Linked DNA regions of Ovis aries. The protein of the gene in region 1 binds, or shares a complex with, the protein of each later gene. Links are inferred from orthologs where the notes say so. Each region holds a gene or a part of one and is shown in the gene's direction. Other genes may lie near its edges. The genes, in order: RGS7, GNB5 and GPR158.

Region 1 (4,159 bases):
AAGAAGTTGAAAAAGTGGCAATTTTTCTGAAAAAGATCACAATTTCTAGAGCACACCATGGAAAGATTTTGGGAACTGGGGAAGAGAGGGAGATGGTCAGACTAGGGTGTGTGTAACATAGTTTGGGCTAGGAATCTCTGCCCTGTATTATTCAGAATACAGGGTAGGTTGAAAAAAAGACATGTTCCCTGGTTAAAACCTGACAGGAGCCAGGTGGGACTGAGGAAATGCACTTGAGGACACGTCCTGGGTTTACTTTGACGGGCTCTCCTGACCAGCTGTAAGTTCCATTTTTATCTAGGAGGTTAGGAAGAGGCTAGCTTGATTATTTTCTGTTTCTCCCCCACACCTGGCCCAGCTGTGGAAGGAAAACCTCAGATATTTTTAACTGCACGACCCTGCCCCTGAAAGCCAGACACACAGCGTTCTTTACTATAATTGGGACAAAAGTGATTTTTCTTCTTAATGTCACGCTAATCCTTACAGAAGAACTAGTGACAGCACCCTGAAGAATAATTATGCGGAAATCATCACTCCGCCCTCATTCTTTGAAAACTGCTGGAGGGTGAGAGTTAAGTGGGTGACAGGTCCTCCGAGCATCTCTTGTCTAAAAGAGAAACCAGATACTGTGACTATACCTTCACTGTAACAGGTGGCAAGATGTGCACTTCGAGTTGGCCGTCTCCAAATCGTTTCCCATTTCTAACTTAGGGGGAAGCTGTGAAATTTGCAGGCAAACGAGCTGAATGACTCATTTGATCCTGGACATTTCTTTCACTCCTAGGATGTCTCAATATCTCTCTACTCCCGTTTTTAAAGCACAACGATAATCAGTCATCGGCTACCCTCGCACTGTCAGCGTAGTCACCGGGCACGTGACCAAACGGGCCCGCCGCAAGGGGCTACCTCCATTCCTGCATGCCTCCATCCATCCATCCACCCACCTACCCATCGCCCTTTCTGTTCTCCGGCTTAACACTCCCATCTCCAGGCCTTCAGCGGCGCGCACACTGGCGAGCCGGGTGTGCAAGGGCCCGGGTTGCACGCGCTTGGGGGCAGGGCGGCCACTTTCTCTGCCCGAGACGGTGGGGCGGCGGAGGAGACAGGGCAGCGAGGCCGCGCGGAGCCGAGCCCCCCCAACCCCGCCCGGCTCCCCTCCCCGAGCCGGCACCTAGGGACGCCGGGTCCCACGTGACAGTCCCCTCCTCCCTCCCCAGTCGCGCGCACGGGCCGGGCGTCTCGGTCCCGCGCGCGCTCGTGGTCCGGGAGTCCGGGAGCCAAGCGAAGGAGGGAGCGGTGGAGCGCGGGCCGTCAGAGCCCTGTGCCCGCGCGGAGGTGATGAAGCTGGCCGCGCGCTGACACCGCCGCACCCAGCCGCCGGGAAGCAGGCGCCTCGGGCCGCGACCTTGAGGAGGAGGTACGAGGCTGGGCACGGGGATGGGGGTGGGTTGGGGTGGGGGCGGAGGTCGGAGGCGGTGCCCCGGAGCCCCGCGCCCGGGTCCGCGGGGCTGACACCGCCGCCGGCCCGGCTCCAGTGCGCGGCTCGGGCTCGCCTGCCATTTGCTGCCGCCGCAGGCGAGCCGGGCTTGCTTGTTTTCCCCTGTCTCTGCCTGGTCGCTCCGAGGCTTCCGCAGTTGGCGCTGCTCACGGTGACCCAGGTAATTGCCTGAAGGGCCGACCTCCCACCTGGTCTTGTTGCCAGGACACCTTCTCTGCCTTCTGGCCGGGGTTGGGCAGGGTTACGCCGTGACTTCCGAAGCCGAGTTGGGCCGAGGGGAGAAGCAGCAGTGGCCGGGCAGTGCAGGCAGGTGAAAGTCGAGGAAGCTCCCTTGACTCTGTGCGGGAGACCTAGGGGAATGAAGAGGAAACACATGACTGGAGAATGGCCCAGGAATGGGCCTCTGATGCGCTAGCATGCGGGGAAACTAGACAGACACCTGGGAGAAAGTGCTGCCACAGGGTGTTGCCTTTTTAACCATTCGGGGAGGGAGGGGGAACACCATCCGGTGGAGATGCAAGTATTGGGAGAGAAGAGAACTCTGTAGGATGGAAATGGTAACCGTTTTTTTTTTTTTTTTCCCCTCTCCAGTGAGCCTCAAACACTTTAAAAAATGAATATCCAGAAAATCAAGTCAATTAAAACCCTAGTCAAGTGACAATTTTAACTAAAAGATTGTCATTTCTTAAAATTTCCTGGGAGGACTGTAGGTGTAAGTTCTTTTTTTTTTTTTTTTTTTTTAATCTGTTTCTGTGCTACTTTCTACAAGCCAGCCCCAGCATATAAGCATGCTCCAATGTTGGATGAGGGAGATGAATCAAGAGTCAACCTTCTTGGATAGTTAGGGAGTTTGGAATAGTCATGTACACGCTGCTGTATTTAAAATAGATAACCAACAAGGACCTATTGAACAGCAAATGGAACTCTGCTCAATCTTATGTGCCTGCCTGGATGGGAGGGGGTACCTGGGGGAGAATGGATACATGTATATATATGACTGAATAGCTTCACTGTTCACCTGTAACTACCACAACATGGTTAGTCGGCTGTACTCCCATACAAAGTAAAAAGTTTGAAGTTTGGAAAAATAAGAGTCAACCTTCTTAAGTACTACCATTAAGAACTCACTGAAGTCTCTGTCTCTTGCAGGGTAGACTGATAATTCCTGTATCTGAGAGTGGACCACGGGTGTGTGGTGACATGGCCCAGGGGAATAATTATGGACAGACCAGCAATGGGGTGGCAGATGAATCACCCAACATGCTGGTGTACAGAAAGGTAAGGATTTCTTCACTTTCCTGGAAAAAGGGAAACTTCTGGCTTCTTTGAATATTTCTTTTCCCCCTCAGATCAGAGTATCTATCAATTTTGTGACCTTAGGGATTCTCCAAATCCCAGATGACTGCACATTGTACTTGAGGATGAGCTGACATTCATATGTGTAATGCATATGTGTAGAGACATAGTGAAATACATGAGGCTACTGATACTCTGTTCTCACACTTTCCCAGTGGATCCTACATGGATGAAGCTGCAGGCAGCAGCAGCAGCAGCAGCAGCAGCAAATTTGGACATCCCACATATTTTGTTGGTCACATACAGGATTTTATAGCATCTGTAATAGTTTTTAAAAGCTTTTTTTCTAATACTCCTCCTAAGCATTTGGGTTGTAATGATCATGCAGATGTATAACATTTTAGAAATGAATGAAGACTACATTGCATTCCTGGGGCAAGAGTGAATGTGGCTATGTCTGTATGGTTGGTTTAATAATTTTGCTTCTAACTAAATAATTCCAGTTTCTTTTTTTAAATCTTAGCTTAAGGTATTTTTTACTTTGTGTTATTTTTATAATTTTACTTATGGGTATTTATGTTCTAGTGCCATATGCCCATTAAGTAAATCTTTATATTTTAGAAGCTTTTTTTCCTCCAAACTAATCTGGCAGCTTTATGCATTTTATAACGATGCTGTCAATACCAAACGTTTAGATATTGAGCCACCATAATAAAGGTGTATTTGAATATTGTATGTGCTTCAGAGTGGTTGCTTAGGTAAATTCTTTCTGCTTAGAATCAATAATCTGACTAAAATTAAGGAAGCATCATTCTTCATTTAAATGCTGGTACAGAAATTACTGCATTTTCTGGGGGATTATTTTTCTTTATCATATTATCTGTAGTGCTTGTTGGGGTAGGATTTCTTTAGTTAACACTAGCAGTGGTAAAAAGGAGGTTGGGCCTGGAAACCAAGAAAACTGTTAACGACTTTAATTAGTGTGACCCCATTGAAGAGTCTAGGATGAGTTTACTAGAGGATCAGAACTGGTTATGGAGAAAGATGAAACGCTTTCCACCTTGACCTGTACTAAATTCAGACTTTCCTTCAGTGTGGCCCAGTGTCATTAACAGGTGCTGATGATATGTGTTTGCAGAAATCTTGTTATTGTTTCTGTGTGAATATGCATGGATATCCTGATGATGCTAACCTTGTAAACTATAGTATGTTGTGTACCTGTGAATGGAGGGGTGTCTGTGTGTGTGTCACAGCACAGTAAAACTTTTTCTTCACAGGGAAAAAAATTGCCTATTTTAGTCTTAAAGCATCCCGACTGGATAAATCAAGGAAATAATCCCTTTGAGCTTAATTATTACTATTCTA
Region 2 (2,670 bases), on another chromosome or scaffold:
ACAATAATGAAACATTCACCCCATTTAAATCCACACATAAAATAGATTAAGACTGGGACTTCCCTGATGGTCCAGTAGCTAAGACTCCGAGCTCCCAATGCACAGGTCGTGGGTTTGATCCCTGATAAGGGAACTAGATCTCACATGTTGCAATTAAAGATGCTGTATGCTCCGGGAGTTGGTGATGGACAGGGAGGCCTGGCGTGCTGTGATTCATGGGGTCGCAAAGAGTCGAACACGACTGAGCGACTGAACTGAACTGAACTGATGCCACAATAAAGACTGAAGACCCTGTGTGTGCCACAACTAAGACTTGTTGCAGCCAAATAAGTAATTATTTTTTTAAAAAGTAGAATAAGACTGAAGGAAATAGCCAGGTGTTAGTAAATATCTCTAGGATTTCCTTCTTTATGCATTTCTGAGATTTTCTGAATTTTCTACAAAGAACACATATTACTTATCAGAAAAAAAGGCTTACATTTTGTTTTTTGTACTAAAGAAATCTGCATTTGCTGTTTCTTCGAATCTCCAGTGCTTCGTGGGGATATAAGAATTGGGATTGAGGAAGAAAATACTGAGAGAAAACGAAAGGTTTTTCCCCTTGACCCTCAAACCACACAAGCTACCAGCACCTGCCTGTAGCTCTGTGATCACTGATGCACCAAACAGGACCCAGAAACAAGTGGCTCTTTGTCCTCTTTGTCACCCCAGTGTCGCCTCTATGACCTCCGGGCAGACAGGGAGGTCGCCATCTATTCCAAAGAGAGCATCATCTTTGGAGCTTCCAGCGTGGACTTCTCCCTCAGTGGTAAGGTTTTCCTGGGACTGTGAAACAGGACCTCAGAGAATCCGGCAAGCTTCCCCTCAGCTGAACTTCCTAGGCTCCACCTGCCAAGAGTCTACACCTGCATGGTTTTCCTCCAATGCATTTTTGACACCACATTTTGCCCAACCTGAGGCAGCTTCCCCAGCCCATAAGTGAAGGCTGGGCCCATCTAACACTCTTCTTCAGAACAATGGTATATCAGAACTCTATCTGCTATGCCTTTAGGCATTTCCTATCCAGCCTTCCATTTTCCCTTTCACACTTGAAAAGGGACTTTTTTCAGAGGTGGAGGGAGTGAATCGAGAGAGTCCCCTTCTTGATGCCCCGAAGCTCACGTCACCTCTGCCTTCACAGCTCGAGAGGCTACCAGGGGAACTTAGGGCAGTGCTGGCATATTGTGTCAGTGGACCGTTCAGTTCTCCCAGACACCTTCCAGCCATGCAGCTGTGCCTTTGTGCTGCTGCTGCTGCCTGGAACATCATTTTCCCTTCCTTCTCTGCATGGCAAACTCCTATTCAACCCTCAAAGGCCAACACAAATAGTGCTTCTCCCATAGTATCCTCTTTGATCCCCTTTCCTCTGTGATCACATAGCACTTTACACATAGCTGAGCACTTCCATTACAGCCCCTTCCACATGGTGCTGCAGTGATACAGGAGTCAGCCTGCCCACCGTCACCCTCCACAGGGGCCAGCAACTGTGCTTTCTCCTCTTTGAATCCCCAGGGCAAACCACAGTGCCTGGCACATAGTGGGCTCTAAAGCACTGTTTATTGAATGAATGAATGAATGAGCACATGAATCAGAGTCATGAAAAGAAAAAGGAAGGAACTGGTTGAGTAACCATCTTACCTCTTGCTTTAAGGTCGCCTGCTGTTTGCTGGATACAATGATTATACCATCAATGTCTGGGATGTCCTCAAGGGGTCTCGAGTCTCCATCTTGTTTGGACATGAAAACCGTGTTAGTACTCTACGAGTTTCCCCTGATGGGACTGCCTTTTGCTCAGGATCATGGGATCATACCCTCAGAGTAAGAGAGGCTTTTCTACTTTACTGTGTGTGTGAGAGCAGGAGTGATTGGTCTTCTTGAAAGCAGAGAGGTCAGAGTAAGCTAGGACGGGCCTAGGCAGCCAAAGAGAGCTCTAATTTCAAACCTATAGCCACAGAGGGATGATTTGCCTTGGGAGGTAGTGAGTCTCCCATCAATGCAGGTATTCCAGCACAGATACCCTAAAAGTCTGTTCCAGCCTGTGACAAATCCAATTGCCAATCTCACCTCCCACGAGCACCAGGGTCCTTATCCCAGTCACAGACCCCTGTGAAGTCCACACAGAGGCTTCAAGAGACCTATGAAGTCCATGCAGTTACATGCTAAATTGTGTATATGTGTGCATTTTTCCAGGAATAGTGTCCTCATGGCTTTATTAGATGCTCAAAGAGCTCCATGACTGTGTCAGGTGTTGGCTCCCTAGAAATGCCACCAAAATAACTGTTCAGCAAGTAAAACTCACTTCACTATGGAAGATCACAGACTCGACAGTCTTATTAGCATTTCAGAAGGAGAGAGCAAAGGCAGATATTATCTGCCAAAGGTTTTAGGGGTCTGATTGAAGGTAAATCTTTTGATGGAGGGATTTAAGTAGGATTGAACAAATTTGGGGCATAGCTTAAGACTGCTGGACACAGGGTCAGGGGAGGGAGAGAATTTCAAAGACTATCTAGAAAAGTAGCTGGTCATTTGATGCTTCATATTATCCTAAGAAGTGTGTGTCATTTCTAAAATGAGTAATTGAATAGTCCAGTCCTAGGATAAATGGATTTTTTTCAAAATTCTTGAAATAAA
Region 3 (3,651 bases), on another chromosome or scaffold:
GGTAAAGAATCTACCTGCAGCACAGGAGACCCAAGAGACATGGGTTCATTCCCTGAGTTGGGAAGACCCCCTGGAGGAGGGCATGGCAGTCCACTTCAGTATTCTTGCCTGGAGAATCCCATGGACAGAGGAACCTGGAGGACTATAGTCTATGGAGTCACAAAGAGTTGGCCATGACTGAAGTGATGTAGTATGCAAACTCAACATTTAAAGAGGATTCTTACTTTTGGGCTTCAGGGCTAAGTTAAGTTTGATAACCAAGACACAAGAATCCAAAATTAAAGGTAGATCAGTAACAGCAGTTAGTTGATAGTGTGGAAATGTCCTATGGGTGTGCAGAGGGGGAAATTACATGATAGCCTGTAAGTATGGATTGTCCTCTGGGCAGAGGATGCACCATCATTAGGCAATTGCACACTGAACAACTGTTGATTAAGTACCATTTTATCCAATTTAGACCTAATGAACTTGGTGGATGAAATCCCTGCTGGATTAAAGAGCAATCAAAGCCTCATTTCAGATTCTGTGCCATCTAGGTCAAGAGGTTCCAAAAGTGTTGTGTATATTTATTTACTTGGTACAGGAATGACACAACTTTCTCATCCTTTTTTTTTCTGGTTAATTCTTTAGCAAATATTTCTAGAATATGCTTTGTGACCATAGGGAATTTCCATTAGGGAGTGGAAAATAGTGAAATAAAAGACAGAAAACTGTTCCCTGCCTCTGAGGAGTTTAATTCCATTTTTGCTAATTTTCCTCAGTTGTTCTGAATAACTTTTTTTTTTTTTATCAAAAGGATGAAAAGAATTCTGTTTGAGCCTAAAGGCAAAGAAACTCTCTCACTGAGTAAGAAGGTTGAAGAAAGGTTTTTAGTTAGAGGGAAAATGAATGAAGAAGTGAGGATGTATTTTGACTCTGTCTCACCTACCTCCAAGGTGCAGTGACACTGGTTTTATTTGGAATTTTCAGGAAGGGGTCCAGATCACCGTTTTGTAGAAAGTGCCAGGGATGTGTCAGAAGAAGTCCACGTCTGCCTGCCATGCAGCGAGGGCTGCCCCTACTGTGCTGACGACAGGCCCTGCTTTGTCCAGGAAGATAAGTACTTGCGACTGGCTATCATCTCCTTTCAAGCCCTGTGTATGCTGCTGGACTTCGTGAGCATGCTGGTGGTCTACCGTTTTCGCAAAGCCAAGGTAAACCCAGGTACCCTGGTTATGATCTTCCTTTTTACTATGAACCGACCTCTTCTTAGGCAAATAGAATTGTTCCAAATCCTAATGGCTTCTCTATTAAGCCAAAGTCTTTCTATAATACGACTAGAGTATGAAAGTTATATTCCTTAGCTTCTCAGGAGAAACAGGAATTGAAAATATGAAACTTTATTATAACAATTTCTCCTGCAGAATGTTTCTCCCTGTTTAGCCTGAAGCTCAAAAACCTCAAAAGATTCTTTTATATCATCTCCTTGGCTTCTTGAAGAATTTCTTTAGCCAGTTCCCAATATAGCATTAATTTTTTTCATGTGTAGAAAGATTTGTGATATTTATTGCTTTTCACGGATAAGTGTGCAGGCTCTAAAACCAGATTATTTAGTCTCGTTATGAGTATCTTAAGTTCGACGAGGTTTGCTTATGCCTAACATATCAACTCTATAGTTGGTGGGTACCAGCAATCACTGGTCAAAGGTTACTTAATATTGTATCATTTTAAACACAAACTAGATTCTGCTATGTTTTTGGTTAAGGCTGATGATACAATACCACAGAGTAAATTAAATTTCTGTGGACAAACATTTAAGGAAATAATTATATGCATTTGTCCTGGGTTAAAGAATAAATCTGTCAATAAACTGTGAGTGATTTTGAGCTCAGCAAGTTCTTCTAAAGCAGTGGCAATTTTTAAAATAGTATTTGAAATATCCTGAATATTAAATATTTAGAAATTATCTTTTTTTTTAACCAAATATTATGACAAGTCACATCTTTTCCTATTAGCTATTCTGAAGAGAGAGCATAGCTTCTTACAGCTTAATAATGTGAAGTGTTAGTACAATTTATTTTTGAGTGAAAATTTCTAAGAAAGAAGGTATACTGGAAGGTACAGCAGCTTCTTCCACTTCTGAAAATAATCTTTTGCTTGATTTATTCTTAGTACTATTTTAACATGTTTTGTTTGAGCTCAGTGGTTTGGAAAAAATAGTGATAGTCATTTTTTAAAGGGAACATACTACAGTTTATATTTTCCCTTCCAGTCCTGTAATAATTTCTTTTTTTAATTTAGAAATTAATTGACAAGTGATTTTATAAGTGCTCATTTTTGGTTTGGAAAATTAGATGTTTTAATGTAGAATGTGGCTGAAATTCTGCTAAAGTAATTATGATGTTCTAATGCTTATTTTGGTGCGAAAAGGAGAACTATATTATTTTTTTTAATTGTAAAATACACATAACATAACATTTACCATCTTTAACTGTACAATTAAGTGGCATTAAATGCATTCACATCACTGTGCAGTCATCACCACTATTCACTTCCAGAACCTTTGCATCATCCCAAACCAAACTCTGTAACCATTAAAAAACTCCCTGTTCTCCTAATCCCTGGTAACCTTTGTTCTACTTTCTGGTCTCTATAAATGTGTCTTTTCAGAGTACCTCATATAAGTGGACTTTTATACCATTTGTCTTTTTGTGTTTGGCTTATTTCACCTACCATATTTGTTTATGTTGTAGCGTGTATCAGAACTTCATTTCTTTTGGTGGTTTAGTTGCTAAGTCATGTCCGACTCTTGCAACCTCATCGACTGTAGCCCACCAGGCTCCTCTGTCCATGGAATTTTCCAGTCAAGAATACTGGAGTGGGTTGCCATTTCTTTTTCCAGGGGATCTTGCCTGACCCAGGGATGAAACCCTGCATTGCCTTGCATTGCCTGTATTGCAGGCAGATTCTTAACTGACTGAGCCACCTAGTGCTCATTTCTTTTCACTGATGAGTAATATTGGAAAAGACCCTGATGCTGGGAAAGACTGAGGGCAAAAGGAGAAGGGGGCAGCAGAGGATGAGATGGTTAGATAGCATCATTGACTCAATGGACATGAATTTGGGCAAACTCCAGTAGATAGTGGAGGACAGAGGAGCCTAGTGTGTTACAGTCCATGGGGTTGCAACTATTTTCCACAGAGGCCAGACAACTTGATATTTTCACCAACAGTTCATGAGGGTTCCAATTCCTTTGCATCCTCACCAGCACTCACTATTTTCTGGGTTTTTTTTTTTTCCTGTTTGTTTGTTTGTTTTATAATAACCATCCTAATCAATCTGAAGTGAATTCTCATTGTAGTTTCGATTTGCATTTTCCTACAGGTTACTGGCAGTCTAGCATTTTTTCATGTGCTTTTTGGTATATCTTCTTTGCAGAAATGTCTATTCGAGTCTTCTGTTCACTTTTGAATTGGTTGGTGGTTCATTGCTGAGTTGTAGGAGTTCTTCACGTATTCTGAATATTACACGTATCACATAGATGCCTTGCAAACATTTTCTTCCATCCCATGGGTTATCTTTTAACTCTCCTTTGATGCCTGAAAGTTTTAAGCTCTAATGGACTCCAATTACCTATGTTTTCTTTGATTGCCTGTACTTTTGGTGTCATAT

What was found.
Region 2: the proteins of RGS7 (region 1) and GNB5 are in contact, whole or in part, in a cryo-EM structure (PDB 7EWP), measured with the Homo sapiens proteins. The link is inferred for Ovis aries from reciprocal best matches to the Homo sapiens genes RGS7 and GNB5. Residues at the interface, in NP_001351815.1 of Homo sapiens: Pro19, Leu22, Val23, Lys26, Val30, Ile72, Val76, Glu77, His80, Leu81, Leu84, His88, Val207, Asp213, Ile214, Lys215, Lys216, Leu258, Gln261, Ile262, Trp265, Gln266, Gln268, Leu269, Arg271, His272, Arg273, Leu274, Lys275, Met276; in NP_057278.2 of Homo sapiens: Leu57, Glu60, Ala61, Glu62, Leu64, Lys65, Leu68, Glu71, Lys74, Leu75, His76, Asp77, Val78, Glu79, Leu80, Val83, Leu90, Phe93, Arg98, Arg99, Leu109, Lys117, Arg118, Ser134, Phe135, Trp149, Met151, Leu167, Tyr197, Ser206.
Region 3: the proteins of RGS7 (region 1) and GPR158 are in contact, whole or in part, in a cryo-EM structure (PDB 7SHF), measured with the Homo sapiens proteins. The link is inferred for Ovis aries from reciprocal best matches to the Homo sapiens genes RGS7 and GPR158. Residues at the interface, in NP_001351815.1 of Homo sapiens: Gln35, Ile43, Ser55, Arg109, Phe110, Thr112, Pro113, Tyr114, Phe115, Lys134, Thr136, Lys140, Ala141, Arg142, Leu143, Leu145, Ala146, Asp147, Ala150, Leu153, Gln157, Trp164, Phe168, Met169, Gln170, Glu172, Ala173, Gln174, Lys176, Val177; in NP_065803.2 of Homo sapiens: Leu507, Lys508, Phe510, Leu511, Arg513, Thr514, Tyr595, Tyr598, Ala599, Thr602, Val603, Pro604, Ile714, Arg715, Leu718, Lys719, Tyr722, Leu725, Glu726, Tyr728, Lys729, Arg730, Met733, Ile734, Thr735, Asn736, Asn737.

Annotation. Positions count from the first base shown.
Region 1 is NC_056065.1:34,681,093-34,685,251, forward strand, and holds the start of RGS7 (regulator of G-protein signaling 7), read left to right. Parts: upstream 1-1,264; 5' UTR 1,265-1,417; intron 1,418-2,647; 5' UTR 2,648-2,698; coding exon 2,699-2,776; intron 2,777-4,159. UniProt on the Homo sapiens protein: GTPase activator component of the RGS7-GNB5 complex that regulates G protein-coupled receptor signaling cascades.
Region 2 is NC_056060.1:56,359,321-56,361,990, forward strand, and holds part of GNB5 (guanine nucleotide-binding protein subunit beta-5), read left to right. Parts: intron 1-499; coding exon of another isoform or gene 500-550; exon of another isoform or gene 551-711; coding exon 712-808; intron 809-1,690; coding exon 1,691-1,857; intron 1,858-2,670. UniProt on the Homo sapiens protein: Enhances GTPase-activating protein (GAP) activity of regulator of G protein signaling (RGS) proteins, such as RGS7 and RGS9, hence involved in the termination of the signaling initiated by the G protein coupled receptors (GPCRs) by accelerating the GTP hydrolysis on the G-alpha subunits, thereby promoting their inactivation.
Region 3 is NC_056066.1:25,497,326-25,500,976, forward strand, and holds part of GPR158 (metabotropic glycine receptor), read left to right. Parts: intron 1-969; coding exon 970-1,193; intron 1,194-3,651. UniProt on the Homo sapiens protein: Metabotropic receptor for glycine that controls synapse formation and function in the brain. Acts as an atypical G-protein coupled receptor that recruits and regulates the RGS7-GNB5 complex instead of activating G proteins.